7 linked regions of the Rattus norvegicus genome follow. The protein of the gene in region 1 interacts with the protein of each later gene in a biochemical or structural test. Links are inferred from orthologs where the notes say so. Each region holds a gene or a part of one and is shown in the gene's direction. Other genes may lie near its edges.

What was found.
Region 2: the proteins of Pten (region 1) and Magi3 form a complex in vitro, tested with the Homo sapiens proteins (2 studies listed by BioGRID and IntAct, with this or other methods). The link is inferred for Rattus norvegicus from reciprocal best matches to the Homo sapiens genes PTEN and MAGI3.
Region 3: of the proteins of Pten (region 1) and Mex3c, one has a biochemical effect on the other in vitro, tested with the Homo sapiens proteins (2 studies listed by BioGRID). The link is inferred for Rattus norvegicus from reciprocal best matches to the Homo sapiens genes PTEN and MEX3C.
Region 4: the proteins of Pten (region 1) and Tufm form a complex in vitro, tested with the Homo sapiens proteins (2 studies listed by BioGRID). The link is inferred for Rattus norvegicus from reciprocal best matches to the Homo sapiens genes PTEN and TUFM.
Region 5: the proteins of Pten (region 1) and Poldip2 form a complex in vitro, tested with the Homo sapiens proteins (2 studies listed by BioGRID). The link is inferred for Rattus norvegicus from reciprocal best matches to the Homo sapiens genes PTEN and POLDIP2.
Region 6: the proteins of Pten (region 1) and Nherf2 form a complex in vitro, tested with the Homo sapiens proteins (2 studies listed by BioGRID and IntAct, with this or other methods). The link is inferred for Rattus norvegicus from reciprocal best matches to the Homo sapiens genes PTEN and NHERF2.
Region 7: the proteins of Pten (region 1) and Pdgfrb form a complex in vitro, tested with the Homo sapiens proteins (2 studies listed by BioGRID and IntAct, with this or other methods). The link is inferred for Rattus norvegicus from reciprocal best matches to the Homo sapiens genes PTEN and PDGFRB.

What each region holds. Positions count from the first base shown.
Region 1 is NC_086019.1:240,106,207-240,109,706, forward strand, and holds part of Pten (phosphatidylinositol 3,4,5-trisphosphate 3-phosphatase and dual-specificity protein phosphatase PTEN), read left to right. Parts: intron 1-1,429; coding exon 1,430-1,654; intron 1,655-3,500. UniProt on the Homo sapiens protein: Dual-specificity protein phosphatase, dephosphorylating tyrosine-, serine- and threonine-phosphorylated proteins.
Region 2 is NC_086020.1:194,206,438-194,209,792, reverse strand, and holds the end of Magi3 (membrane-associated guanylate kinase, WW and PDZ domain-containing protein 3), read left to right. Parts: intron 1-451; coding exon 452-1,533; 3' UTR 1,534-2,855; downstream 2,856-3,355.
Region 3 is NC_086036.1:69,441,522-69,445,649, forward strand, and holds the start of Mex3c (RNA-binding E3 ubiquitin-protein ligase MEX3C), read left to right. Parts: upstream 1-1,328; 5' UTR 1,329-1,375; coding exon 1,376-1,544; intron 1,545-4,128. UniProt on the Homo sapiens protein: E3 ubiquitin ligase responsible for the post-transcriptional regulation of common HLA-A allotypes. Binds to the 3' UTR of HLA-A2 mRNA, and regulates its levels by promoting mRNA decay.
Region 4 is NC_086019.1:190,502,875-190,507,172, forward strand, and holds the start of Tufm (elongation factor Tu, mitochondrial precursor), read left to right. Parts: upstream 1-1,498; 5' UTR 1,499-1,844; coding exon 1,845-1,887; intron 1,888-1,992; coding exon 1,993-2,187; intron 2,188-2,656; coding exon 2,657-2,823; intron 2,824-3,044; coding exon 3,045-3,149; intron 3,150-3,232; coding exon 3,233-3,397; intron 3,398-3,516; coding exon 3,517-3,649; intron 3,650-3,732; coding exon 3,733-3,837; intron 3,838-3,948; coding exon 3,949-4,100; intron 4,101-4,204; coding exon 4,205-4,298. UniProt on the Homo sapiens protein: GTP hydrolase that promotes the GTP-dependent binding of aminoacyl-tRNA to the A-site of ribosomes during protein biosynthesis. Also plays a role in the regulation of autophagy and innate immunity.
Region 5 is NC_086028.1:63,903,857-63,908,086, forward strand, and holds the start of Poldip2 (polymerase delta-interacting protein 2), read left to right. Parts: upstream 1-1,430; 5' UTR 1,431-1,468; coding exon 1,469-1,629; intron 1,630-2,959; coding exon 2,960-3,041; intron 3,042-4,230. Other genes in the region: Tmem199 (transmembrane protein 199), read right to left, coding at 1,049-1,259. UniProt on the Homo sapiens protein: Involved in DNA damage tolerance by regulating translesion synthesis (TLS) of templates carrying DNA damage lesions such as 8oxoG and abasic sites.
Region 6 is NC_086028.1:14,167,520-14,171,019, reverse strand, and holds part of Nherf2 (Na(+)/H(+) exchange regulatory cofactor NHE-RF2), read left to right. Parts: exon of another isoform or gene 1-599; coding exon of another isoform or gene 600-608; intron 609-1,214; coding exon 1,215-1,394; intron 1,395-1,615; coding exon 1,616-1,769; intron 1,770-1,837; coding exon 1,838-1,881; intron 1,882-2,574; coding exon 2,575-2,637; intron 2,638-2,835; coding exon 2,836-2,994; 3' UTR 2,995-3,500.
Region 7 is NC_086036.1:56,794,348-56,797,847, forward strand, and holds part of Pdgfrb (platelet-derived growth factor receptor beta precursor), read left to right. Parts: coding exon 1-58; intron 59-555; coding exon 556-767; intron 768-2,942; coding exon 2,943-3,037; intron 3,038-3,500. UniProt on the Homo sapiens protein: Tyrosine-protein kinase that acts as a cell-surface receptor for homodimeric PDGFB and PDGFD and for heterodimers formed by PDGFA and PDGFB, and plays an essential role in the regulation of embryonic development, cell proliferation, survival, differentiation, chemotaxis and migration.

The sequences.
Region 1 (3,500 bases):
GGCTTTATATTGTTTGTAAAAATAGATAATTACCTCAGTGTCTCCTTGTAGTTTTAGAGATGTGCTGTTTCTTACTCCTGATCTCTGAAGATTGGATACTTATAATATATTTATATATCTTAGATTACATTCCATAAATTTCCATTTATTATAGCTTTTCCTTACTAATTACATGCCTGTTCTGATTTAAATAAAAACAGTTTTAGAAAATCAGTGCACATCAGTGAGCCACATTTTGTAAGTTTAAATAATATTATCTTGTTTTCCTCTAAGTAAAATACAATTGCCAACTGAACAACATTAAAATAATTGAGATCAATAAGGTTTTAAAAAGGCTGAATACACGTCTCAGCAGTTAGGAGCCCTGGTTCCTAGCAGGGGGAGAGGGGATGGGATAGGGGTTTCTAGAGGACCCAGGTTTGATTCTCAGCACCTATATGTTGCCTTACAGTTATCTGTAACACCAGTCTTGGGGGATCTGAATCCCTCTCTGGCTTCCACGGGCACTGGGCATATCTGGGCAAAACTAAAGTTGTCATAGGGAACTTAGTCTAAAGTTTCTAGGGCTTCGGTTGTTAGTTTCTAGGGCTTTGGTTGTAATGACACCTGATCTTTGTTTATATCTATATACATATAAACTCAGAACATTTTTAAAATTCCGTATTAGAATAGGAAATAGTTTTCTTAGGATTTGGGATCCATCCCATATACAGTCACCAAATCCAGTCACTATTGCAGGTGCCAAGAAGTGCATGCTGACAGGGGCCTGATATAGCTGTCTCCTGAGAGGCTCTGGCAGAGCCTGACAAATACAGAGCTGGATGCTTGCAGCCAACCATTGGACTAAGCAGGGTTCCCCAATGGAGCAGTTAGAGATATGAAGGAGCTGAAGGGGTTGCAACCCCATAGGAAGAACAAAATATCAACCATCCAGACCCGCACAGAGATCCCAGGGACTAAACCGCCAACCAAAGATAGACAGACCCATGTCTCCAGCTGCATATGTAGCAGAGGATGGCCTTGTTGGGCATCAGTGGGAGTGGAGGCCCTTGGTCTTGTGAAGGCTCGATGCCCCAGTGTAGGGGAATGCCAGAGCAGGGAGGTAGGAAGGAGTGGGTGGGTGGGAGAGCACCCTCTTAGGAGCAGGGGGAGAGGGAATGGGAAAGGGGGTTTCTTGAGGGGAAACCAGGAAAGGGGATAACATTTGAAATGTAAATAAAGAAAATATCTAATAAAAGAAAAGATAAAAGAGATAAAAGTAAGATAACAGAGTTTACATGATTATTTTTTATTCATAACATAACTTAGTGAATAAGAATATTCCACAAGGTGTTTGCCTTCATTTTAGAATATGGTTTATATGTTGACTATTTGTGGTACATTTTTAAATAAGTGAAATACATCTTTCATTTCTTTCTTTTCTTTGTAGGACAAAATGTTTCACTTTTGGGTAAATACGTTCTTCATACCAGGACCAGAGGAAACCTCAGAAAAAGTGGAAAATGGAAGTCTTTGTGATCAGGAAATCGATAGCATTTGTAGTATAGAGCGTGCGGATAATGACAAGGAGTATCTTGTGCTCACCCTGACAAAAAATGATCTTGACAAAGCAAACAAAGACAAGGCCAACCGATACTTCTCTCCAAATTTTAAGGTCAGTTAAAAGCATTCTGGGGTGGGAGGGTGTGTTTTCTTCTGACTGAAGGTGAAGACCTAGGGTTGTTGTAGTGTTGTTTAGTGTGTACTCCCGAGAGGTTATGCAGCCTTTCCTTTCTGCTCATGAGTCCACTTATTCTCTCGCTATTTCTTCTCTCCCTCACCACCTTGAGTCTTCCCCTTTAAATTCTTTTTTCTTTCTTTTTTTTTTTCCCTTTTTTTTTTTTTTTTTTTTTTTTTTTTTTGGGTTCTTTTTTTTCGGAGCTGGGGACCGAACCCAGGGCCTTGGGCTTCCTAGGTAAGCGCTCTACCACTGAGCTAAATCCCCAGCCCTAAATTCTTTTTTCATTCTGTTGTATTTCTTTTATTCACATGTAACAAACTCAACTATAGATTATATTATTATAACATAATAACAATGCTAATAAAAATAGAGAATGACATTCACATGTTAAGTGAACTTAGACCTAATTAATATTTCAATGCCTTTGGATCTCGAGTATGTTTTTAAGTTGCCTTTAGAATCCTCATTTTTCATTTTTTCCTTTTCCACAAATTGATATTCCTATCAGCCATCCGCTTTCTGATTTTTTTAGGTAGGGTCTTGGTATAATGGGCACAGGCTGGGCTTGAACTGCCATGTCTCTGCCTCAGCCTCATCTGGCAACTATTTGCTTTTAAAATGTATTCCTCTCTAGTAAACATTACTGTTTTAATGTTTCTCCGGCAATGTACGTCAGTGCTTGCCTAACATGAGTGATGCTGAGTTCAACACCAAGTACTACAAAACAATCAATAAAACAGTACAGTGTAGAAAAGTTACTGTAGATAAAGACTGTTTTCATTGTCACTGAACAAACAGATAGATCAAGGTAAGTGCTGTGAAGCCGGCAGCCGGCAAAGGCGGTCTGGTCAGGTGGGTGGTGGGTGTGTAGAGAGGGCGAGCACAGAGTGAAGTGAGCACACTTACACCTGTGAGCTGTGCACAGCTTGCAGAGCAGCTATTTGGACAACAGAGGAAGAGTAGATAAGAGAATTGAGGCATGCGTGAACTTGGTACCTCTCTGTGGCATTCAGAAGTCATTTCTACTGAGTCGCAGGGACCCGGTCTTGGTGTGAAGGTGTGGGGTGCCGAGCACAGAGAAGATGTGGTCGGAGTTGGCTTTAACCGTCCACCTCACTTCCTGAGTCGAGCCTGGACCGAGAACTAGGGAGAGGCAGCGGGCTCGAAGTGGCAGGGAGAGACAATGTGAGCCTGATGGGTAGTGCACATAGAAGGCGGGCTCACGCAATGGCAGGAGCAGTGCTGAATGAGTAACTCACTTGGACGGGGATTCTTAAAGCAAGGGTCAGTTATGAGAACAACTGAAAATGACCTGAATAATGGAAAAGAAAGTGTAGATCTCCTGTCAACTGTTCACCAGAGATTGTCCTTTAGCATGTTGCCTGGACTTCTGGGTTTTTGTTGTTTCTTTTAAAATGGAAGTACTTAAGGAGTGACTAACAGTGACTGCAGCATGGAAAGGCCACTGGTCCATCTGCGGACCACTAAGTGGTCTGTTAGCTTCCTCCATTCTCTCTAGAGGAAGATTTTAGAGCTAGTTGATCTTGTATACATGATTATTAATCAGTATTGTGTGTGTCACTAGTGTAAACATGGAGTTGTTTCAGAGATTGTAAGAGAAATGCTTTTGAAACGTAAGCACTTGTAAATTGAATTTTGTGTTTAGTGAGTCCATTGCCTTCAGTTTGCACTTTTATAGAATTATACAGTGCTTATAGCTGATGTGGTTTAAAAATAGCTCTCAACTCATCAGTGTGTCTTTTGAGTGCACAGTAGGCAG
Region 2 (3,355 bases), on another chromosome or scaffold:
TCCTTTTGACATTAAATTTGACAGCCTAACAAGAAAGTGCCCATAAACCTCATTTTGGTTACCACAGTCTGGTGTTTTTCACTAGTAATTTTGGCCTATCCTTAAGTTAAACAGTAATAATAGTTTAATTAATAAGTTTATTGGATCAGGCACTTTGGTCCACTTTGATTATTTGTATCTTATTTGGCTAAATGAGTAAAGAATTTACAGATCGTATTATGTCTTATAGTACCTACATGAAAAATTATTATGACACAAATCTCCCCTCCGTACATGAGCAGATATCTATAAGCATCTGCCTTTACAGAGATCAGTGTAAACGTGAATAAGCTATGTAACATACTCCTCGGGCTATGCGACCAGTAACATATTCAAATGGCTGTCAGTTCAAACTCACTATTCCTATTTATAGTCCTTGGATCTAACACTGTTCTACTCAATCACTTTTTAGGTGATTGGGATATTTATAGTCCTTCATCTTCCAATGTCATTTATGATGAACAGCCACCACCTCTCCCCTCTTCACATTCTGCTGCCACATTTGAAGAGTCTCATGTGCCAGTAACTGAAGACTCTCTGATTAGAGTTCAGACATGTGAAAAGGCAGAAGAATTAAAGGACACTGTACAAGAAAAGAAAAGCACTTTAAATGGAAGCCAGCCTGAGATGAAGTATCAGTCTGTCCAGAAAAATGTGAGTAAGAAGGATCCATCCAGAAGTCATGGGCATGGTGACAAGAATCTACCTAAAGGAGAAAATGGTGTTACACGGAGAGGTAGATCTGCTAGTCCCAAAAAGTCAGTTAATCGACATTCAGAGGAACATCTGGAAAAGATTCCCAGGCCCCTTAGAAGTGACCCCAAAGGAAAATCTAGAGACCGGTCACTCAGCCCTAGGAAAGGAGAAAATAAAGGTCAGGTCACCATTAAGGCGGGCTCTGGACAAGATCCCTGTAGAAAAGACAGAGGACGGTCTTCTAGCCCCAGGAAGCAGCAAAAGATTGGAGGCAACAGCCTGTCAAACACTGAAGGCAAATTATCAGAGGCTGGGAGCCGAAGAGCAGCAGGCCTCTCTAGTGACAGCCCTGAACAGCTCCCAGAGGGGAAAGAAAAGTCAGGGGTCAGCAGGAAAGATCTGAAGCTCAGTCAGCTGGGGAAAAACAGAACAAGGTCTCCAGAGAAAAGGAGCAGCAAAGTTGATGAAGCGTCTCTCCCATCCAAAAAGACTAGTGACACTGCTAGTAGGGTAGTGTCTGAAAAGGAGAAAGGAAGGAAGCCAGGCACAGGAGAAAGAAGTAGAGACAAAACAGGAGAAAGCGTCCAGACCTCAGCAAAGCCGCTCACGCAGGAAGCGGGAGAGAAGATGGCATTAAGCAAAGCATCAGAGGTCACTGACAGAGGCAAGGAGCGTGCAGGGGGCGCACCTGAGAGTAGCTCTCCAGTCAAGAAAGCACCCATCACTCCAGGACCCTGGAGGGTGCCACGTGCAAATAAAGTCACAGGCACTGCTGGCATGGCTGACAAACAGCTGTGACCTTTCGTATAAAACAAAGAAAAGTAAGTTGTAATCTTGACTAACACAGAATTCTTTGAAGGTGGAGAGTTGTGGTTTTCCCCCAGAAATTCTTCAATACCAGGTAGCCAGGCTGCATGAAGGGCTTCTGAGATTGCCAAGACCCACCTGGCCCTGGCTGGCTGCCCTTCCTCATGCTCAGGAAGGAGCTGCATCCAAGGGCTCACCTGCCATGCCCTGCACAGGCCGCTCGCTCAGCAGTGACATGATCTTAACAGTGTGGTCACAACTCACTTTGTGTTTGTGCCAAGTTATCTACTGTATCATGTCTGTTTTATCCTTCCCATTCTGATCAAACAGTTCAGTTTGGCTTGAAGATGTTTTCAGTAGCATGTTGCATGTTTACAGACGGGAATATGTGAGTCCTTGCAGAGGAAGAAATTGTTAGCTCATCATTAAAGTGGGCACTTGCCTCTTCTCACAGCTTCTGACCATCCTAGTTTAAAAATGCAATTCACAAACATCACATTACAGGAAAGGTCAAATATTAGAAATGCTTTTTTTACGGCTAAGTAAGGTGTTTAAAGTAACTGTTAAAGATACTCCTTACAGTTGAATGCTCAAACGAGAACGTACTGTAAGCAACAGAATTAACAACCTCCTGCCATGTTAGCCATCGCCTATGTAGTGACAGTGTCTCAGATCAGCGGTAGCCTTGGGGGAAGTACAAGAGCATGTAGAAGCACTGCTTGTTTCTCTTTAAAGAAAAGCTCTACTACATCTGGAGATTTTGAATATTAATCACTAGTCTTTAATATATTGTTGAAGACCCAAAATATCATAGATTTAGTGAGGGACTTGATCACGAGACCAGTTCTACAGTCCACGGCCAGAAAAAGCACCAGCCCTTGCCACGTAGGAGTCAGGAGGGGCAGGCATGCGAGCGTCAGCATTTAGAAGCAGAGCCTGTCTTGGGCTTCCTCCACAAGTCAGGACTAATATGGTATAGACTGTGTGTATTGAAACTTTAATTTTTAGCTAATTATTTAAAAACAAAGTTTTCAGAGTTCTTTTTAAAGTCTAATAAAAATGTTTGCTGAAAGTTGGAGACAGTTCTTAAACTCATACAATAGATCCAGACATCAGCTCCCTGACGCAGCATTCAGAAACATCTATAAATACAGACATTTCTCAGAACTGTCTATCTGTGGAGTATTTAAACACTAAACACTCATTCTGTTACCTTGTGAGTCTGACAAATTCCACTGTGACAACTGTACTGGCCCCTTATGACACATGCTTCCATCCAGAACTGTGTTGAACCCATCTCAAAACTACTTGAATAGCGCAAATTAGGAGGCTTGATACTAAGAATTTAGTACCACAGAAATGATTTATTTTCCCTATAGTTCACAATTAGTGATACAAATCCTATTTTTATTGTTAACCTGTGACATAACTTTGATGTCATGTTGTCAATATGATGTGGCTCTTCCTAAGTAACACGTCACTGTACTGATTATATACTGACTTAGCAATGTGGCCTTGGAGTGCTGAGCAGAATATGGATGTACTGGTTGTAAATGTTTATATCTGTACAGTACCTTTATATATACACTTGAGGTTCTGATTAGAGAAAGATCTGTAAATCGCTCGTTATTTTTTATATAGATATTAAAAAAGAAAGAAAAGTTTGTCTTGCTTTTTTTTTTTTTTTAACCGTCAGCACCATGTAGACTTGCAGTTTATGGAACCTTGTCCCACCGTCATCCCTGTCATCGAGGACTTACAATGGGAAAGACAAGGAAGTGTCTCTCCAGTACTAACATGGATAAAGCCTGTC
Region 3 (4,128 bases), on another chromosome or scaffold:
GCTCGCCAGCCTGAAAGGCAGTCGCTTCCGCACACCGACCAACGGCCCACGCCTTCAGCCCCAAAGCCCGGCTTCTCAGTCCGTGCCTTCCCTAACACCGCCCCGGGAGGAAAGACCCCGAACCAAGCCGCACGCGCCTGCGCAAACCTCCGCTCCGCGCTCTCCGCTCCTCCGCTCCCGCGCCTTCCTCCCGCCCCGTTCCCCAGGCACCTAGGTACGTCACAATGAGTGGCGTGTAAGTCGAACAATCACAGTTGCTGCCCTCGAGAGCACTCGGGGAAAGAGGAGGGCGGGGCGAAGGGAGGGACCGAAGGAGCCGGCTTCCAGGACTGGCTCGTTCTCGTCACCCAATCAGAACGGTCTGGGGCGCAGAGGGGCGGGGCCTGAGAAGAGGGCGGGGGTGGGGCTGAGGGAAAGGAGCGTGAAGGCTGCGGGACGAGAGGGCGGGCTCCCGGAGATTAAAAGCAGCCAATCAGAGCGCGCCGGCTTCATTCGGAGAGCGGCGTGGGGCGTCGCCGCCGCCGCGCGCGCCGGGGGCTGGTTAAGGCCATGAAACAAAAGAAACCCTGAGAGGGGAGCCGCTGCCGTCCCCACCCACCCACCTAGTTACCTACCTCGGCTCTGTCCCCAGCCCCTCCACCCCGCCCTCGCGCGCTCCGGCGGCCCTGGCGCTCCTCAGCCCAGGGCGCGGGCGCCGCCGCCGCCGCCTCCCCCGAGGAAAGGTGTTTGCGCGCTGAGCAGGGCCCGGGCCCTGTCCGCCATGGGGCTCGCCGCCCGCCGCGCCTGACGCGCCTGCCGCCGCCGCCGCCATTGACAGCGCGCCGCCGCGATGCCGAGCGGCAGCTCCGCGGCCCTGGCCCTGGCGGCGGCCCCGGCCCCCCTGCCGCAGCCGCCTCCGCTGCCGCCGCCCGCGGGAGGCCCCGAGCTCGAGGGGGACGGGCTGCTGCTGAGGGAACGCCTGGCCGCGCTAGGCCTCGACGACCCCAGCCCGGCGGAGCCCGGCGCCCCGGCGCTCAGGGCCGCGGCGGCGGCGGCGCAGTGCCAGGCCCGGCGGGCGGCCGGGCTGGCTCCGGAGGAGCCCGGCCGCCTCGCGACCTCCGAGACGGCGGAGCTGGAGCTGGAGGTGGACGAAGAGGAGGGGGAGGAAGCGGAGCTGGACGGAGAACTGCTGGAGGAGGAGGAGCTGGAGGAGGCTGAGGAGGAGGACCGGCCGTCGCTGCTGCTGCTGTCGCCGCCCGCGGCCACCGCCTCCCAGACCCAGCCGATCCCGGGCGGGCCCCTGGGGTCGGTGCTGCTGCCGGCCGCGGGTTTCGATGCCCGGGAGGCGGCGGCCGCGGCGGCGGGGGTGCTGTACGGAGGGGACGATGCCCAGGGCATGATGGCGGCGATGCTGTCCCACGCCTACGGCCCCGGCGGCGGCGGGGCCGCCGCTGCCGCCCTGAACGGAGAGCAAGCGGCCCTGCTGAGAAGGAAGAGCGTCAACACCACCGAGTGCGTCCCGGTGCCCAGTTCCGAACATGTCGCTGAGATTGTCGGACGCCAGGGTGAGTGCGCCGAGGTCTGTCTGGGCACGGCCCTGGGCGTGGGTGGGAGACGAAAAAGACGAGCGTGCGGCGGAAGAGAGAACCCGGAGAGTCCCCCAAGTCCACCGAGAAGGGGTCTGGGAAGAACCGAGGGTCTCCGAGAACGGGACGGGTCACCTTGCGAAAACCCACGCCGTTCTGCTTCTTCAGGCGGACAAGAAGTGTTAAGTTTCTTGGGTCACCCAGTCTGGTAGTGTTCACTGTAATCGGTGTATTCGTGGAACCCCGGGCTGGCGCGGCCCCAGAAACCTCAGTAAGGTGGTAAGGTCAGGTCAGAAGTTGTGGGTTACAGGATTGTTTCCGAAAGCTTCGAGATTGGAAGTTTGTGTCGCCGAGTGGCCTGTAAAAGCAATCAGCCAGCCTTAGAAGTGCTTGTGCTGATGAGAAATGGACCGACATGGAGGCATGTGCAAAGCTAATTCGGAAGGGAAGAGAGGCCTATCACTACCTCCCTGTTATTCAGAAACTTGGCTTTAGACGAGCACCCCAACTCTGTTGATCTTGGGTTCTCAGCGGACACATCTCTCTTAAAAGGCGATAGTGTCCGTCTTTTAGAACACTTTAGCTTGTACCATGAAGGGAAAACTGGGCATTTAGGTAGTTACGGAACTTTATGCATTTGTGCAGTTCTCCATAAATTTTCTTCACTTGTTAGCACACCCGTTCTGCAGACAGACTCCTCCCACATTGTTCAGACAAAGGATCTATGTCTCAGATTCCAGGAGTAGGTTTGTGAAGGTGGGGGAAGGGGATGCACAGAGTACCTCGGTATCCGACCTTTTTAGGGAAGGTTCTGTATGCCTCGGTGTAGTTTTTGCCCCTTTTTGCTACCTGCTGCTACTGCCGTAATACAACATGGTTGATACATACCTCTTGTTGAGGTCAAAGAGAGATGATGGCACTGCTGGTGGAATGAGCTCATTTTCCCAAGTGGTCTAAAGTACGAAAATACGAGATTGGTGACTTCGCATGTAAGAGGTGGCTCTCCTTGCAGGAGTTTGATAAGAAAAATCTTATTTGGAACCTGGACAGAAAAAAAAAAATAGCTTGTTTCAGACTGCTTGACTAATCAGTTTCACATGTCTCACTTGCCAGTGGTTGCTGATCAGGATAACAGATCATGAGGAAACTCTTTTATGTACATGAAATAAAAATGCATTTTATTTATAGATTCAGAATGAGGTGGCTTTTCATTTAATATCATTGAAAGAGTGCTTGATTTTGCTGGATAATGAGTTTATGAAAAGTAAGTAAGCTAAAAATTTGAGGTTGATTTATACAGAATTTCTGCTCTTTATTAAAAACTAACCAGTTAATAAAATGGCACACAAGTAGTTAACTATATAAAGGCAAACAGTCCCACACACAAGAACATGACCCATAGAGAATGCAGCTTTGCAAACAAAGATGCAATATTGAACAACATGAGGAAAGTGTGGAGGAGGTCCTGCTAGGTGGTGATTGGAAAATCACCCAAATGTCATTAGTGATTAGAATCTGGTAAACTGGGGGATGGAAATGACCTGAGAAGTGATTGTTGAGGCTGTGGAATGTAGAGATTTGAATGGCATGCTGGGAAAACAACATAACTTACTTCAGTGTTCATGTGCTTGACTGCTGAAGCAAAGGAAAAGATCGTTTGCTTGCTAGTTTTACCACATGACAGGTAGTATATCTTGGTAGATTTACTTTAACATGAACTTTTGTCCCTTACATTCTAAAGCACCTCAACTGTAAATTGGCAGTATTTATATACATTGAAGTGGCAAGCTTTTATTTTGTGCCATTGTGTGATGAATGTCTTAGTGTTTCTTCTTGGGCTGTTCTTACTGGTTAATAAGGAAGTGTGAATGCATGTCTTAGAGCATGGAGACAAGTTGCTAGCTGTCGTTGTACTTACTCTTTCCTAGAGCTGCCAGACTGTTAAAGCTCGTCACCTTCCTCTATCTTATCTTAAGGCAGAAAGTCTTGCCCTTTTCCTGTTTGGAGCCTTTCAACTAGTGGATCATTGACCCCTTTGCCATCCCCACACCCCAGCAGCATGGTAATAAACCTGTATTTGCTAACTTACAGAGAGCTAAGTGGCTTCTAATAGTCACAGTCTTTTACTGTGCAAAAACTTCTTGTTGAAAGTACCTGTCCTAAGTAAGTTTTAGAAAGTGAGTTGGGGGACAGGGCAGGGAGGTAGATCATTTTGAGTTTTTGTTTGTTTTGGAGGAGCTAAATGTTCATCCTTAAGAATTAACCATTCCTGCCTTCTCATTCATTACCTGAAGTCCTAATTCTCTATTTGACATCTCTCAATTAGTTTTGGAAATAATTATGTCACAGATGGAGGCATTCATGACTTCAGCTCTGAAGCAAAGAGTATAGGGTAACTGGAATTCTGAGTCACGCATGCAGTTCAGCAAAGCCCTTGGAGATAGCCTCTGGTTCCCTTGTCTTTCAAAAACAACATTGCTCTTACTTTGTTTTTGTCAGTGAGACAGGTTTCCATCATGTAGCCTGGCTGCTGGGCTCACAAACATGTACCTCTCTACCTGAC
Region 4 (4,298 bases), about 50 Mb from region 1:
TATCTAGTGTTAGGGAATTGAAGGGGTGAAAAAGAGGGTGGAGAAGGGTGGAAGAAAGAAGAACCTAGAAGGTAGCCAAAGTCCAGCTACAGAAAAGTTAAATGGTATCTTGCTGCAAGATGAAATCTCAGCAAGAAATGGAGGATTAGACCCACAAAATCCATCAAAGGATTAACCTCATCTGATCAGAACACACAAGACTAATGACCTCTGGAAGCACTGATGTGAGACTTACAAATTGGACATTGTCCACTCTCACCTCTTGAAATGCTCCACTTCACTGTGCGAATGAACTCCATTCCATAATCACACTTTGCAGGTCTCTTCTGAAAATTTTTAAATGTTTACTTTATGGGTATGAGTGTTTTGTCTGCGTGTACTTAAGTGCACTGTGTGCATGTCTAGAGTCTACAGCCAGCCAGAAGAAGGTGCCAGATTCTCTGGGAACTGGAGTTACAGGTGGTTATAAGCTGCCACGTAGGTGCTGAGAACTGAACCCAGGTCCCCTGCAAGGGCAGCCATCTCTCCTAACTGCTGAGCTGTCTCTTCAGCCCCTCATCTGGACTCCTTAGATAAAAAGATCACCAAGACTGAGAGGAGTCTAGCACAGGATTCTAGTAACACTTCATTGTCCTTTTATCTTTGCCTTTTCAGAGTTTCAGTCTGTGCTCAGGACTTAGGACTGGATTTCCTGCCGCCGTGTCTAAAGTGCTGAGATCATAAGTGTGTACCTGTATCTCGATCCATTTGATTTTTAGAGGAGATGTAATGTAACTTGTTTGTGCTTAGACATTTCTCTAGGGATGGAATTGGGGAATCTACAGCATTTAGAACAAACGCTGTCAACTAAGCTTTGATAGGGTAAGTTTCAGAAAGAAAGTCGGAGTTAAGTAGCTTCTCTTACCAATTCGTGAGAGTTGAAGAAGCGGTGGGAAGAGATGAACGTGACAGTTAAAAGTCACTACTACACATTTGCTGGGTATCCACCACGCGCTCCGCTGTGGAGACAAAAGACTCGGATTATTAGAAACTTCCAAAGCTCGTCCACTTCCTCAATGTCACATGAACAAAATAAGGCGGGAGTAATTACCACTAAGAAAATTTCTCTGGGCCAGGCTGTGCACACCTTTAATCCTAGCACTGAGACAGGAGATCTTTCTAGAATTGGGAGGCCAGCCTGGTCTACATAGAGAGTTCCAAGGCAGCCAAGGATATGTAGTGAGACTCTGTCACGGAAGGAAGGAGAGAAGAAGGAAGAAAGAAAAAAAAAGGGGGGGGGGGACCCTGTTTCTCAAGCGGCCAAAGAACTATTGGAGGGGAGAGTTTAACTTAGGAACCTTAGAAAGCACAGGATTCCTGCAAGAGATATGGGGACTGTATTTAATGGTCAAGGACTGGAACTCCCTGGACTCTATCCCTGACTCTAGTTAATTTTGCCTCTCACAGGCTGGGAGAACTTAACCTATGGACCGAACTCAGCCGGAGCTAATGCCTATAGCAAACTAACCCTAAGCCCGCTGCCCTGAAAACTACAACACCCATAAGCCTTCGGGAGCGCTCGTGCATTGTGGGGCGCTCCGCATTTTCCTCCTAAAGTGGCCCCTCAGGTTGAACTGTGAAAATTCTCCATCATCCCCCGCGAGACACCAGAAACCTCCTTTTCCGCTCCATGCCCGGATATAAGTGGCCGTGGCCATAGAAACTTTCTGCTAGAGGCTCCCAAAGTCGCTGTCCCGACCCTCATTTCCGCCGGAAGTGATCTGCTGTTCCAAGTGCCCGTCCTTCCCTACACGCGCGGGCTCCGGGTCCCTAGTTCTCGGTCCCGGTCGCCGAGTACTACCACAATGGCGGCAGCGACTCTATTACGAGCGACGCCCCGTTTCAGCGGTGAGGGGGCGGGTTGGACGTAGGCAGCCTGGAGACGTGAGGGGCGTGGAGGGTAGCTGGGTTCGGGTCCACTCCCTGATTCCAAGCGCCTTCTTTTCCTCTCAGGTCTCTGCGCCAGCCCAACCCCATTTCTGCAAGGTCGGCTGCGGCCGCTGAAGGCCCCGGCATCGCCCTTCTTGTGTCGCGGCCTAGCAGTGGAGGCCAAGAAGACTTACGTACGCGACAAACCCCATGTGAATGTGGGTACCATCGGGCATGTGGACCATGGCAAGACCACCCTGACCGCAGCCATCACGAAAAGTGAGTAGAGTTGTGTTGGGTTTGGTTGGGGGCGACCGGCAATGCCCCGTCAGCTGGAAGGGCCAGAACCAGGGAGTAGGGTGGGTATCTTGTAGTCTGCTGAAGTTTAGCCTGGCGCCAAAAGACACTTCCGACGAGGGGTGGTTTGGAAGATGCAGGAGACAGGTTTCCCTGTACAAGAAGAGCTCTGTGAGGCACAAATTGCAACAGTTTGAATGGTTTCTATCCTGTGTGGAGTGTTCTGTAAGGAGACGCTGTCAGTGAAGAAGTTGAAGCGTCTTTGATGGGCAGACACCCTGGAAAATTCTTTCTGTTGCTCACTCTCTTCCAAAGTTATCTCTCCTAATAGAATTTGAGATTTTAGATTTATCCATCTAGATTGTTTATGTATGAGGGATCCAGGCTTGTGCCCGAGCCTCGTCTGTAGCTCTGAACCTGAGTTTAGAGGTGTGTTCTCTTCCTCCGGTAGTTCTAGCCGAGGGAGGTGGAGCTAAGTTCAAGAAGTACGAGGAGATAGACAATGCCCCAGAGGAGCGAGCTCGGGGTATCACCATCAATGCAGCTCATGTGGAGTATAGCACTGCTGCCCGACACTATGCCCACACAGACTGCCCTGGTCATGCAGATTATGTTAAGGTGAGGGTTGCTGGGGACAGCCAAAACCTGCTTCCGGTCAGTGGCGGTCTGAGGGGAGGAGGTTATAAGATAGTGGCGGTGTTTGGACGCAAGAACTAAGATTTGTGGCCATGGCTGTGGGTGGTGAGGTAGAGATGGGGATCTTCACAGCTACCTCTAGTTAGTGATGCACGGGTGAAGAGGTCCTTGAACTAAGCTGACCTTCTTCCTCTTCCACTCAGAATATGATCACAGGCACCGCCCCTCTGGATGGCTGCATCCTGGTGGTGGCAGCTAATGATGGCCCCATGCCCCAGACCCGAGAGCACTTACTGCTAGCTAAGCAGGTACTGGGGTCTGAGTGGGATGGAAATTAAGTGAGAAGTTAGATGACTCAGGATAGTTTCTCAGTTTCTTCTCTCGCTTGCAGATTGGGGTAGAGCATGTTGTGGTGTATGTGAACAAGGCAGATGCTGTCCAGGACTCGGAGATGGTGGAGCTGGTAGAGCTGGAGATCCGGGAGCTGCTCACTGAGTTTGGCTATAAAGGAGAGGAAACCCCAGTCATCGTAGGCTCGGCCCTCTGTGCTCTTGAGGTGAAGGCGCATGCTCCTGTTGGTGGAGGATGGGGTAGAGCTTTGCTCTGTACCTGGAGACTTAGCATCCTGTGAAAGGAGCAGAAGTTTCAGGGTCTTATTCTCTCTCTCTCCAACAGCAACGTGATCCTGAGCTAGGTGTGAAGTCAGTGCAGAAGCTTCTGGATGCTGTGGACACTTACATCCCAGTACCCACCCGGGACCTGGAGAAGCCCTTTCTGCTCCCTGTAGAGTCAGTTTACTCTATTCCTGGTGAGGCCCATGCTCACTTACACCCCTCCCCATAGGGGCCATCTAACCCTAGGTCCCCAATAACATGTCCTGTTTCTTTCCAGGCCGCGGCACAGTGGTGACAGGTACACTAGAACGTGGCATTTTGAAGAAAGGAGATGAGTGTGAGTTGCTGGGACATAACAAGAACATTCGCACTGTGGTGACAGGTATAAGATGATTTCAGATCCAAGGGCGCAGTCAGAATGATCCTTTCCCAGGTAGATCTTGTACCTTCATTCTACCTGAGACTACTTTCTCTCCTGTCTTCTTCCTTGTAGGCATTGAGATGTTCCACAAGAGCCTGGAGAGGGCTGAGGCAGGGGATAACCTTGGTGCTCTGGTCCGAGGCTTAAAGCGAGAGGATTTGAGGCGTGGTTTGGTCATGGTCAAGCCAGGATCCATCCAACCCCACCAGAAGGTGGAGGCCCAGGTGAGGGCTCCAAGTGATGTTTGGCAGGGCTGAGCCAAGTTTCCCTTGCATAGAAGCAGGACTTGTGGCCAGGCCATTCCATCCTTATTGCTCCTCTCCTCTAGGTTTATATCCTCAGCAAGGAGGAGGGTGGCCGCCACAAACCCTTTGTATCTCATTTCATGCCCGTCATGTTCTCCCTGACCTGGGACATGGCCT
Region 5 (4,230 bases), on another chromosome or scaffold:
TATGATCAGTCTAACCTTAAACTCATTAAGATACACCTGCCTATCTCTTGAATTCTCATGTACCTCATCTAGACCAAAATTCACAATCTTACTGCCTCAGCCCCTCAAATGCTAGGATTTCAGGCATATGCCATGCCCAGCCTTGTGATCATTTTCTTTCTCTCCTTGTGTTTATTCATTTATTTTTCATTTTACTCAAGATAATTTTCAACTAAGAAAAATCTAGGGCAATTCCACCTAAGTATATTTTTAGTGCCACACGGTTTCACTTTAACAGTCAGTTTTCAATTACCCTACCAATGGTAAGTTATTTCTGTGAAAATAATAAATCCATCCTAGACAGAGACAGGATTGAGTTGTGATGCTAATGACTCAGAGGACACTGTATTAGAGGATCTTTCTCTAAGGTTCTCTTAAGTCTGAATAGTTGATCATCTACCTTTTGCACTTCTGGCCAGGATATGTCAATTCTGGCAAAACATGTTACATGCTAGTTTATCCTATTCCCTACCTTGACAGATAAATAGGTCTGAAGAGGAGAAATGACCTCTTTAAAATGTCTAGAACTAGATGCAACTCTCCAGTTCAGATCTTTCAATCTTTCAATAGTTTTGTTGTTGTTGTTACCGTTTCCCTACCCTCACCCCTAAACTGGGGGCCTTGTATTCTCTCCCTTTGCCTTTGAGATGGAAGGAAAAATCATTTTTCCCAAACAGGATAAGTTCACTATAGATACATGGCCTCAAAATGGAGAAACTCAACCTGGCAGATAGTACTGGGCTAGACTCTCGAGTTCCTAAAAAGTCACATGGACTTAGGTGGACCTAAAAAAGGACTCAACAAATTCTGAAAATACGTTTTGTCATACACGAAGAATTTTCACGGAAGTTAAAATGGAGTCCTAAACCCAGGGTTTATGAGAAGGCTTTTGGAGTGGATAAATGAGAACTCAGTAGGCATTCGAGAGTGATAGGAAAAAAAAGAAGAACGACTCAGAGGGGATTAGATCTGAAAATAAGGCGGCGACTCTTGATTGGGGACCGCTCACTTCTTTCTCTCAGGTGCTGATGCAGATCTCGGATCAGACGGAAGGAAACCAGGCGCCGGGGGCCCGTGGCGTTATCACTGCCCGCGTGTTTCTTCCCCAGAGCAGCCTCGAGCTGGGCACGCAGCTTTCGGGGCAGCTGCTCCCGTTCCAGTTCTCCGCCAGGATCCAAAGCGCGAACGAGTCGTTCGCCAGCAAGCAAGGAGGACGCCATTTCTGGCTCACGCTCTGATCAGGTGATCCCAAACTCGGACTTCCGCCCACCAGCGCCGGATGTAGCTGGAGGAGCACACGCGGCCGCGGGGGGCGGACCCGAGGGCGAGGGAGGGGCTTAGGCGCGGGGCAGTGTGGGGCGGGGGCGGGACGGCGCCCCGCCGCGGGTCGGGCCCTGTGTCAGCAGCCGAGCGGGCGCTCGGGCGGGACATGGCTGGCTGTGTGGCCCGACGGGCCCTAGCAGTGGGCAGCCGCTGGTGGTCTCGGTCACTGGCCACGACCCGAGGGTCGAGGCCACTGTGTGCGGTCGGTGGAGCAGGGGCCCTTCCGCCGGTGGCCACAGCGACGGCACGAAGGCATCTGTCGTCCCGGTGAGGGACGGAAAGGGGGACAGGGAACCGGGCCCAGACTCTAGGGAGCATTTCCTATCTAGCCGCTAAGGAAGCCAGGAGGCCTGACTCTGGGCAACCGGAGTGTCACCTGAGAAAGGGTGCGGAGCATGGAGCCGACATGCGCTGCTTGGGACATGTGCCAAGAGCAAGAAGGGAGCACTGCCCAGGACCCTGGCAGTGCAGGGAAGCTCCGAGGGAGAACAAGTAACTCTTCTTAAGGGAATCCTGCCATCCTGGCTGGAGTCCTCAGCACCAGTAGTGGGCTGCCATTTAATGGCCCTTTTGGGTCAGTGGCTCTCAGATGCTTTTATGGGGGAAACAAGTCGACTTAAGTGCCTACCTTTGTGGGTCCTACTTCCATGTGACCTTGGGGAGACTGATTTTGCCCATGTGACTTGGGAAATAGGGTTCCAGGCTTGGGGGTGGTGGTGTAAACAAAGCCTTGTAGGGATCAGACAGGACTGAAAAGTTGGGTATGAAGTTAACATTTCCAAAATAAAATCGCAGTGCTCTGACGGTCCATAGCAGAATCAATCCTATTTAAAAGGTTAACTGACCTGATGGTGGTTGAGGGAGGTATCGGCTATTTAAGACAAGTAAGTGTGAAAAGACACTGGGTGGAGAGACTGCAGTAAGTACTAAGTGTAGTGCTGTGTGAGGTGCCTTTGGAAGTCTAGAGATGCTAGGTCCTGGGGTCATGTTTACAGCACAGGTGAATGTGTAGAATTAGGAGAATCATGCTATGTAGCCAGGTTGGCCCAGAACTTGTTATTTATTTTCCAGCCTTAGCCTTAAGAGCCCTGGGATTACAGATGTGTGGAACCATGTTTGGTTCAGAACAGTTTGTCAAAGTAGCCAATGCCAGGCATAGTGAATACACTGTCAAGGAGCAGTGGGTAAGAGAAACAGAAGAACTGCTCTGCTCAGAACGAATGCTCTTACACACGAGGCATTTCTCTCAGAGAACAGAGTCTTTCATGGACTCAAGGCATGCATGGCAGTAGCTAAAATACAAAGTTGGAAGGATGGTTAACCCACTGTTAACCAGGAGGGCGGGTGAAAGTGTGCACGACCTTGGGAATGCTAAGTAAAGACCGGAGGAAGTAAGTCTGGAGTAGTTACACAAAACCCTGGAAGACTGGGAGAGCCGTCACCAAGCGGATGCCTAAGGCTGGATCTTAAAGGAGGAAAAGCAGCATCCTGATCCTCCGCTGTCATTGCCCTGGTCCTGCAGTGTGCTAAGGGGCTTTGTTCGTTTGTTTGGCTTTGCCTAACTGAGGACTGCTATCTTCTTTTCCTTCCCGATCAGAAACCGTGCTGAGGGCAAAGTGCTGGAGACAGTTGGTGTGTTTGAGGTGCCAAAACAAAATGGAAAGTATGAGACGGGACAGGTATGTATTGCGCTGGGTCAGTGCCCATTTTCATGGACTATTCTGTTTCTGAGTGGAGCTCGATTTGGTCAGAATACTGAATCTTAGTGGTATTTGTATCTTTTCATTCCATATCCCCTTGCCCACCAGTCTTTTTTTTTTTTTTTTAATGTATTTATTTTTTTATGTATGAGTATACTGTTTCTGTCTTCAAACACACCAGAAGAGGGCATCAGATCTCATTACAGATGGTTGTAAGCCAGCATGTGGTTGCTGGGAATTGAACTGAGGATCTTTGGAAGTCATGCTCTTATCTGAAACATTTCTCCAGCCCACCCACCAGTCTTACAGACAGATGCTATACTGCTGAGCTATCCCCCCAAGTTTCAATCCATTTTCATTTTGATGGTAGACTAAGAGCATACATTTGGGGCTTGTTTTGAGGGGCTGTGTAGCTCAGTTTAGCCTTGAACTCTTCTATAACCCATGGTGACCTTGAACTTGCGATCTTATTACTTATGGAACACTGGGGTTGCAGGTATATGCAACCACGTTCAACTCAGAACCACAAATTTAAAAAAAACGTTTCTTTTTTACATTTATTTAGAATGAGTGTGTGCACATGTGTGCGTGTGCCCAGGCACAGAGATCAAAGGGCAGCTTGTGGTAGTGTGCATGCTTGTGGGCGAGTGCATGTGCACTGGAGTCATACGCTTCTAAAAGATGAGATTTCTGGAGATAGGTGTATAGTAGCATCTAATCCCAGCACTCCAGAAGCAGAGCCGGAAGGATCACTTCAATTTTGAGGTCTAATGTGGTGATACTCTTAAAACACAGTTAAGAGGCAGGCGATATGGCTTACCTGCTAAAAGCACTTGCTAAGGAAGCCTAGAAGTAAAGACGGAGGACAGAGCTGATTCCATAGTCGCATAGCACCAGGGAGTCCAATGCCTCGCACTTCCTTGGGTCCCTGCACTCACATACACACATATGGATACCTGCACATACCTAACTAAGTAAAACAAATCCTTAAAACAGACAAAAAAAAAAAAAAAAAAAAGTAATCAGTGGCTCCACACTGGACTAAGACGTGGGCAGATCAAGGAAAGTTCTTAGAGGCCAAGGTGACCTGAAGAAGGGTGAGTGGGGTCAGCCCAGTGAAGAGGCATGAGAATACTTCAGTTGTCTGGGTTAAATTTAGTGTTTGATG
Region 6 (3,500 bases), on another chromosome or scaffold:
AAAGGGCTATCCCAGAACCCTAAAACTAGGAGTGGTCCAGCATAGAAGAGTGTACTTATTCCTGCATTTGGCTGCTGCCTGTGGACATGGCTCAACCCACACTTAGGCTTTGGAGCTAAGCGTGTGGTCTATGCCTATAATTCCAGCACTCAGAAGCTGAAGCAAAAGATCACTTTGAGTTGGGAGTTTGAGGCTAGCCTGGGTTCTCCAAAACACCGAAAGAGGGGTGGTGGTAGTGGACAGCAGGAGTGTAGAGGTATTCAGGCTTGGGGGAAAGGAGTTACCTGAGTCTTAGAGATCTGCCCTGAGACCGGAAGCAGCCTTTCCTCTCCAGAGTCCCTCAGCATCAGCCATGAGGGGGCAGAGTAGTAGTGGAAGGGAGGCAATGCCCCCTGCTACTACATTGTCACCTGCACTCACACCCAGAAACCTGAGCTGCCACCTGCCTGCCCACCCCAGCCGCTGGCCCTGTGTAACTAGGCACCGGCAGCTGCTGACCATTCAGAGGCAGCATCTCTGGCGTGGCCCCTGGCTGGGGTGGGAGGTCAGCAGGCTGGCCCCTTCCTGCGTAGCCTCCTGGCCCAGAGACCTACTGCAGGATGCCAGAGGTAAAGAAGGGCAGCCTGGGGCAGTGGCGGGGGATTCCCTGTGGGTACCATGAGCCCTTCCATATTGTGGGTTAGGGAGCATCATAGGCTAACTTGGCTGCCCGTGCTTTCTGGGCCCATGGGGTTGGGGCAGTGACTCCAGGAGTTAGTGCTGGAATTCTAAAGCAAAGAGCTGCCACGGTAACCCAGGGAGCCTCTTGAAGTCCATGAGGAGAAAACGAGACTGCTCAGGCCTCCAGGGTACTAGCTCTAGAGAAGGGGGGCCAGAAGGGAGACAGGGGGAGGCAAAACCTAAAGGTAGGCTTCCTGAGCCTCGGATGGGGCAGTTATCCCTTCTGGTTCCTTCGAGATCCCCAAGCTGTGCACAGTGCCCCCTATGGATTCTTCCATAGGTCCTGCCAGCAGCTATCTCATTAGATGTTTACATGCTTGGTGACATGCTGTGTCCCTAACCCCACAGCTAAAGCTGTGTAACAGGTAACTCCTCCAAACCTCTCAGTCACAGGGCACATAGCGTTGTCAATGAAATCTGGGGATTGGTCCCTTAAAGCATGAGGGTTGGGAGGCTGCGGATAGAGCCCGATGTCACTTTCTGTGGTTCTGCAGGATGTCAATGGGCCCCCAAGAGAGCTGCGTCCCCGGCTCTGCCACTTACGAAGGGGACCCCAGGGCTACGGATTCAACCTGCACAGTGACAAGTCTCGGCCTGGCCAATACATCCGCTCTGTGGACCCTGGCTCTCCTGCTTCTCTCTCTGGCCTCCGGGCCCAAGACCGGCTCATTGAGGTACCCTGAGTCCCTGTGTTTGTATCTGTATGTCCCTGAGTGTCCATGTATGGCCCTGGGTCCCTGCAGGAGGAGGGAAGACACAGGGAACTTGAGCTGGCACTCTTCTAGCTGCTTTGGCTGCTGGTGGCTTCGATGAATATTTGATGGCACACCTGGCTGGGTGGCATTGGGCCGACTGGGCCCCTCAGGCCTTTCTGACCCTGTGTGGGTGGCGGCAGGTGAATGGGCAGAATGTGGAGGGGCTGCGCCATGCCGAAGTTGTTGCCAGAATCAAGGCACAGGAGGATGAGGCCCGGTTGCTGGTTGTAGACCCCGAGACTGATGAACACTTCAAACGGTTGCGGGTCGTACCCACCGAGGATCACGTGGAAGGTAGGATGCTGCCTTCGGGGCAGAGGGTAGGGTCAGTCAGTGCAGCCGCTAACTTGCTGTCCCCACAGGTCCACTGCCATCACCAGTCACGAACGGGACCAGCCTTGCCCAGGTGAGAGGGTGTGCCCAAGGGGACCATCGGTATACCTCTACCCGTGTCCCTAGACATGGTAGAGGCTGCCTCTCCTGGAGATCTCTGCACAGTTGTGAAACCTATCTGGCTTGGTTACCTCAAAAATACACACCCATGCTAGCCAGGCATTAATCCTGGCACTTGGGAACCAAAGCAGGCAGATCTGTGAGTTCAAGGCCAGCTTGGTCTACGGAGTGAGTTCTAAGGCAGTCAGAACTGCACAGAGAAACCCTGTCTCAAAAACAAAACAAAACAAAACAAAAAAACCAAAAACCAAAAACCAAAAAAACCCCAGCCACTGTGGAGTCTGTATAGGGGTTGGCAGCAGCTCAGACGCACAATGTGGGCAGATACCTGGCCGTCTTTCCGTGCCTTGTTCCTACATGACTACTGAGTGATCTTTACCTTCTTGGGGTACTAGTCCTGGTTTGACAACAGGTGAATTCGCATAGCTGACTCCCATGGCCACAGCTGCTCTCCCATGTCATGACTGCTCAGGTTGGACTTGGCTGTTAGGTGCCAGCTGTGCCCTAGCCCGGGCAGTGACAGAAGTGTGCTCACTGCTGAACAAGGACTGGCTGCAGCTTTGTGTGTGTGTGTGTGTGCGCGTGTGAAGATCTGGGTGCACCAGGATGGGGATGCTGAAACCACAACCTGCCCTTGGTTTCCTAGCTCAATGGTGGCTCCGTGTGCTCTTCCCGAAGCGACCTGCCAGGCTCAGAGAAGGACAATGAGGTAACTCTGCTCACACATGGGGCTTCGGAGGCCTTCAGATTGGGTCTCTGTGGAGATACCTACCAAGATGGTGGGCTACCACTTCCAAGAAGCCTCTTGGGCTAGTGGTCCGGGCCCTGAGGTGGCCACTGGTGTTAGTTCCTTGGGAAAGTGGCTGCCACGGGTAAGGCTCACTGTTTGTACCTTGCCTGCCCCCAGGATGGCAGTGCTTGGAAGAGAGACCCCTTCCAGGAAAGTGGTCTCCACCTGAGCCCCACAGCAGCCGAGGCCAAGGAGAAGGCTCGAGCTACTCGGGTCAATAAGAGAGCACCACAGATGGACTGGAACCGGAAGCGAGAGATCTTCAGCAACTTCTGAGCCCCTCTCTGCCTGTCCAGGGGTCCCACGGTCTCTTCCTGCACGGACCTTGGGCCTCTCCAGAGCTCCCCAAGCCTCAGCAGACTGGAAGGTGGTATTACACCACCCAGAAACCAACCCACGACCCCATGAACCCTTGTCTTGTCCACTGGGTGCTGCGGCTGTCATAGCAAGATCAGAGAAGAGAGAAACCGAGAGAGAGAAAGAGAGAAAGAGGGAGAGAGAGAGAGAGAGAGAGAGAGAGAGAGAGAGAGAGAGAGAAAGAAAGATAGGCACAGCCAGCCAAGACAGACACAGAGACAGAAAAGAGTGAGAGAGGGAGTATGCGTGGTGGTCTGCCAAGGGCCTTAGCCGTTCTGCCTTGGGCCTGCTGACTGAAAGGAATTCATGTTTTCGCTTTTTTTTTTTTCCTAAAAGTTCTCCAGCTCCACATATGTTTGTAGTTAATAGTGGAGCCCCCTCCCCCAACCCCTTGGGACTCACTCCTAATACTTGCAATAAAACAG
Region 7 (3,500 bases), on another chromosome or scaffold:
GGGGCCGGGGCATGCCTCAGCCAAATGTCACCTGGTCTACCTGCAGAGACCTCAAAAGGTGAGCACACCTTGAGGCCAGGCCTCCCAGAGTATATGCAGCTGCCTAGAATGCTCCTTTAGGGTAATCTAGACCGGCCTCTTCACCTGAGAGGTCCAGGCCACATCTTTGATCATTCCTCTGCCTTCCGGGAGATACCTAACCCACATTTCTCCTTTTCTTACCTTGATCCTGAGCCATCCTCAACCTAGGAAGGTGCAGGGTCTGGCCCCCAGAGGTGTCTAGTTCACCCAGTGGATATGCGGGGATTGCCTCTCTATCCTTAACACGTTGAGTAACCTTGAGTCAAATGAGTGAATTTTGCCATTCAGGAGTCTCAGTTCTGGACTGGGAGCGCCCCCTGCTGGCCCATCTAGGCAGCACAGTAGGAATCTGCTTAAAGAGCAAGCAAAGAAATCAAACGTTTCTACCACCATTCACAGTCTTACTTTCCCCCACCATTTGCAGAGAGGAAGCTAAGAGAGTCTGCAAGCCAGTCCTTTTGTGTCTCCTGGCAGGTGTCCGCGAAAACTGTCACCCACACCCTTGGGGAATAGTTCCAAGGAGGAGAGCCAGCTAGAAACGAACGTGACTTTCTGGGAGGAAGATCAGGAATATGAGGTGGTGAGCACGCTGCGCCTGCGTCACGTGGACCAGCCACTGTCAGTGCGCTGTATGCTGCAGAACTCGATGGGCAGAGATTCACAAGAGGTCACCGTGGTACCACACTGTGAGTGCCCTAGCTGCGGATGGCTCTGATGAGCTCTCACCCCTTCCTTGATCCCACCTCACTGAGTCCGAGTTCCCAAAGCAGATCAAGTCAGCATACTCAGAAGAATGTTACAAAGTCTACCAGAGTAGGTTCCTAGGTGCGCACACGAAATGTGACATTGACACAAGTGCACAAACACAACTTTATACACCACAAACACGAAACACATTGACATTTAGGTGTAGAAAGTGAAACTGGCACGCGAGATGCATGCTGTAAACTTGCATGAGCCGGTTGATACTGGGAGTCAGGCGTACACTCTTCACGGGCACGCCGTCTGCGCCGAGGAGGCTTTGTCTCCAGAGTATATGCGTGTTAGCATCTACTCAAGCATACCCAGTGCTGTTCGTGGATGTGAAACTGCAGAATATATTTTTGTGAGCCGTGCGTATGAGACCAGCCAGATCTAATATATCAAATGCTGAAAGATGAGTGGGGATTAGCTAGCTCGTGAGGGCTGTGGAAAAGCCTAGCATAGGCTCTGTGTGGGTTCTGAGGAGTTGAAGCAAATGAGCCCGGATGCAGGGCACACTGTATGTGGATTTGGAGTAGGGGAGGGATTAGGGAGGGAAGTGGTAAAGAATGGGGCTACAGGATGCAGAATACAGCTACAAGATACAGGATACAGGATACAGCTGCAAAGAGTATTTCGTAGACAATCAAACACAGACCCATGCACACTGCGCATATACCTGAAAACAGAGACATGCACACACCCACGCAGGTGTACACACACAGAGGCTTCCGCAGGCTTGTACATGTCTGCTTATGTACATGCCTGTCACCTGCCCTTAGAGGAAGGGTGAGCTTTTAAAGCATCCTTACTGGGACTGCAGAGATGGCTCAGAGGTTAAGTGCACTTGCTGCTCTTCCAGAGGCTCTGAGTTCCGTTCCCAGCACCCACATCAGGCAGCTCACAACCACCTGTAGCTCCAGATCCCGTGGATCTACAGCCTTCTTCTGACCTCTGTGAGCATCCACATGTGTGGCATTCTGTCATACAAATGCTCACATATATACACACAAAAATATATAAGATATGTGTTCATTGCTTTAGGCATCGCAGATTTCTTTGCACTTGCACTGCCAAGCATATAGTCCTTACGGTCTAGGTGTTAGAAAAATTAAGTGCCCTTATTCCCCCATATTCTCATCTATGCACACAGGTAGACTAGCTCTGGGCCCGAGTAAATGCAGAGGAAAAGTCATGTGTGACGCCTGCACAGGACGCCATGTGCTATTACACGGAGACCCAGCTATTACACGGAGACCCAGGATGACTCTGATGGGTCTCTGGAGAGTGCAGGCTTCCTTTGTAAGACCAGGATGTAGGGATGTAGGGAAGAGAGAACAGAAATGTCAGCCAGTGACCCTGAGAAGGAAAAGATGGGGCTAAGCCAGAGGAAGGCTCCCTGGGGAACAGAGGAGGGCAGGAAGAAGCAAATTCCCAGAGCACAACAGCTCCTGCTAAGTGGGAGAGGACAGGGGATGGGGGTTCAGCCAGGCTGACTAGGGAGGTGATGTAAACAGTGAGGCTGAAGTCTTGGGCTAGAGAGGACTCAGGGCTCAGGGAGACCTGCATGTTCACCTCAGGGCCCCGGGAGGTGCATACTGACTGTGCCACACACACTAGTGGTCCCCAGGCTGGGGCTGGGAGGAACAGACTTCTGGTGGTGGATTATTCAGGCTGCTGAAGTTCAGAGTCAGCTCCTTCGGGAGTCACTCGGTGAGTGCCTCAGCCATTTGGTTAGGAATGGCTCTTAAATCTATGACCCAGGAATGACTGCCCAATAGGGCATGGACTCAGAGAAGAGGGGGTCGTGGCCTGGTCCCCAGAGTGCCTAATGCTGTGAGAGGCATAGGTCATTCTCAGGAACCAGAAGAGAGTTCCCCAGCCTAGCTGGATGTTGCAGAAGCCAGCCTGAGCCTGACTGTCATCTGAGGGGAGTCACTGAGGGGCCCTGGGCTTGTAGGAAAGACCAGAGTGTAGGCCCTGAGGTCAGATATCTAGGCAGTAAGAGCTCACGTGCTCAGCAGAGCAAGTCCAACGGATCTGTGATGCTCCCAGCAAGATGGGGAAAGCAGCTACCCAGATACTGTTTGCTTATGGCCTACTCTGGTCTTTGTCCTCAGCCTTGCCTTTCAAAGTGGTGGTGATCTCAGCCATCTTGGCCTTGGTGGTCCTTACTGTCATCTCTCTCATCATCCTCATCATGCTGTGGCAGAGGGTAAGCCTGTGTATGGGTGCAGAGTGGTACCCATATTTCCTCACGGTCTCCACTGTATGTTACACAATCCAGCCCATAGGAAAGGCACAACACAGAGTTCAGCCTGGAGCTGACTTAGAGCGTTGCTGGGTCTCCAGCTCCCTCAGTCCTTACTGGGCTGACGTGATCAGTCCAGGACTCTTGCCCCTGCTCTTTCCTCTGCCTCAGTCCTTCCCGCTCAACTCAGTCCTGGTGCAAATGGTGCATTGTGGGTGGACTATCATGGCCCCAAGATTCTTTCAGCTCTAACCCATAGAGACTGCCATGAGTCACAAGAATGCAATCTGACCCCAGGATTCTGTTCTGACGCTCTATTCTGACATTTCCCCTTTCTGTAACTCCAAACACTTAAGATTCCGGAATTGGGACTCTAGTCCCCCTTCATCCTGTCATTATAAGATTCCAATCCTGTGACTCCAAGATC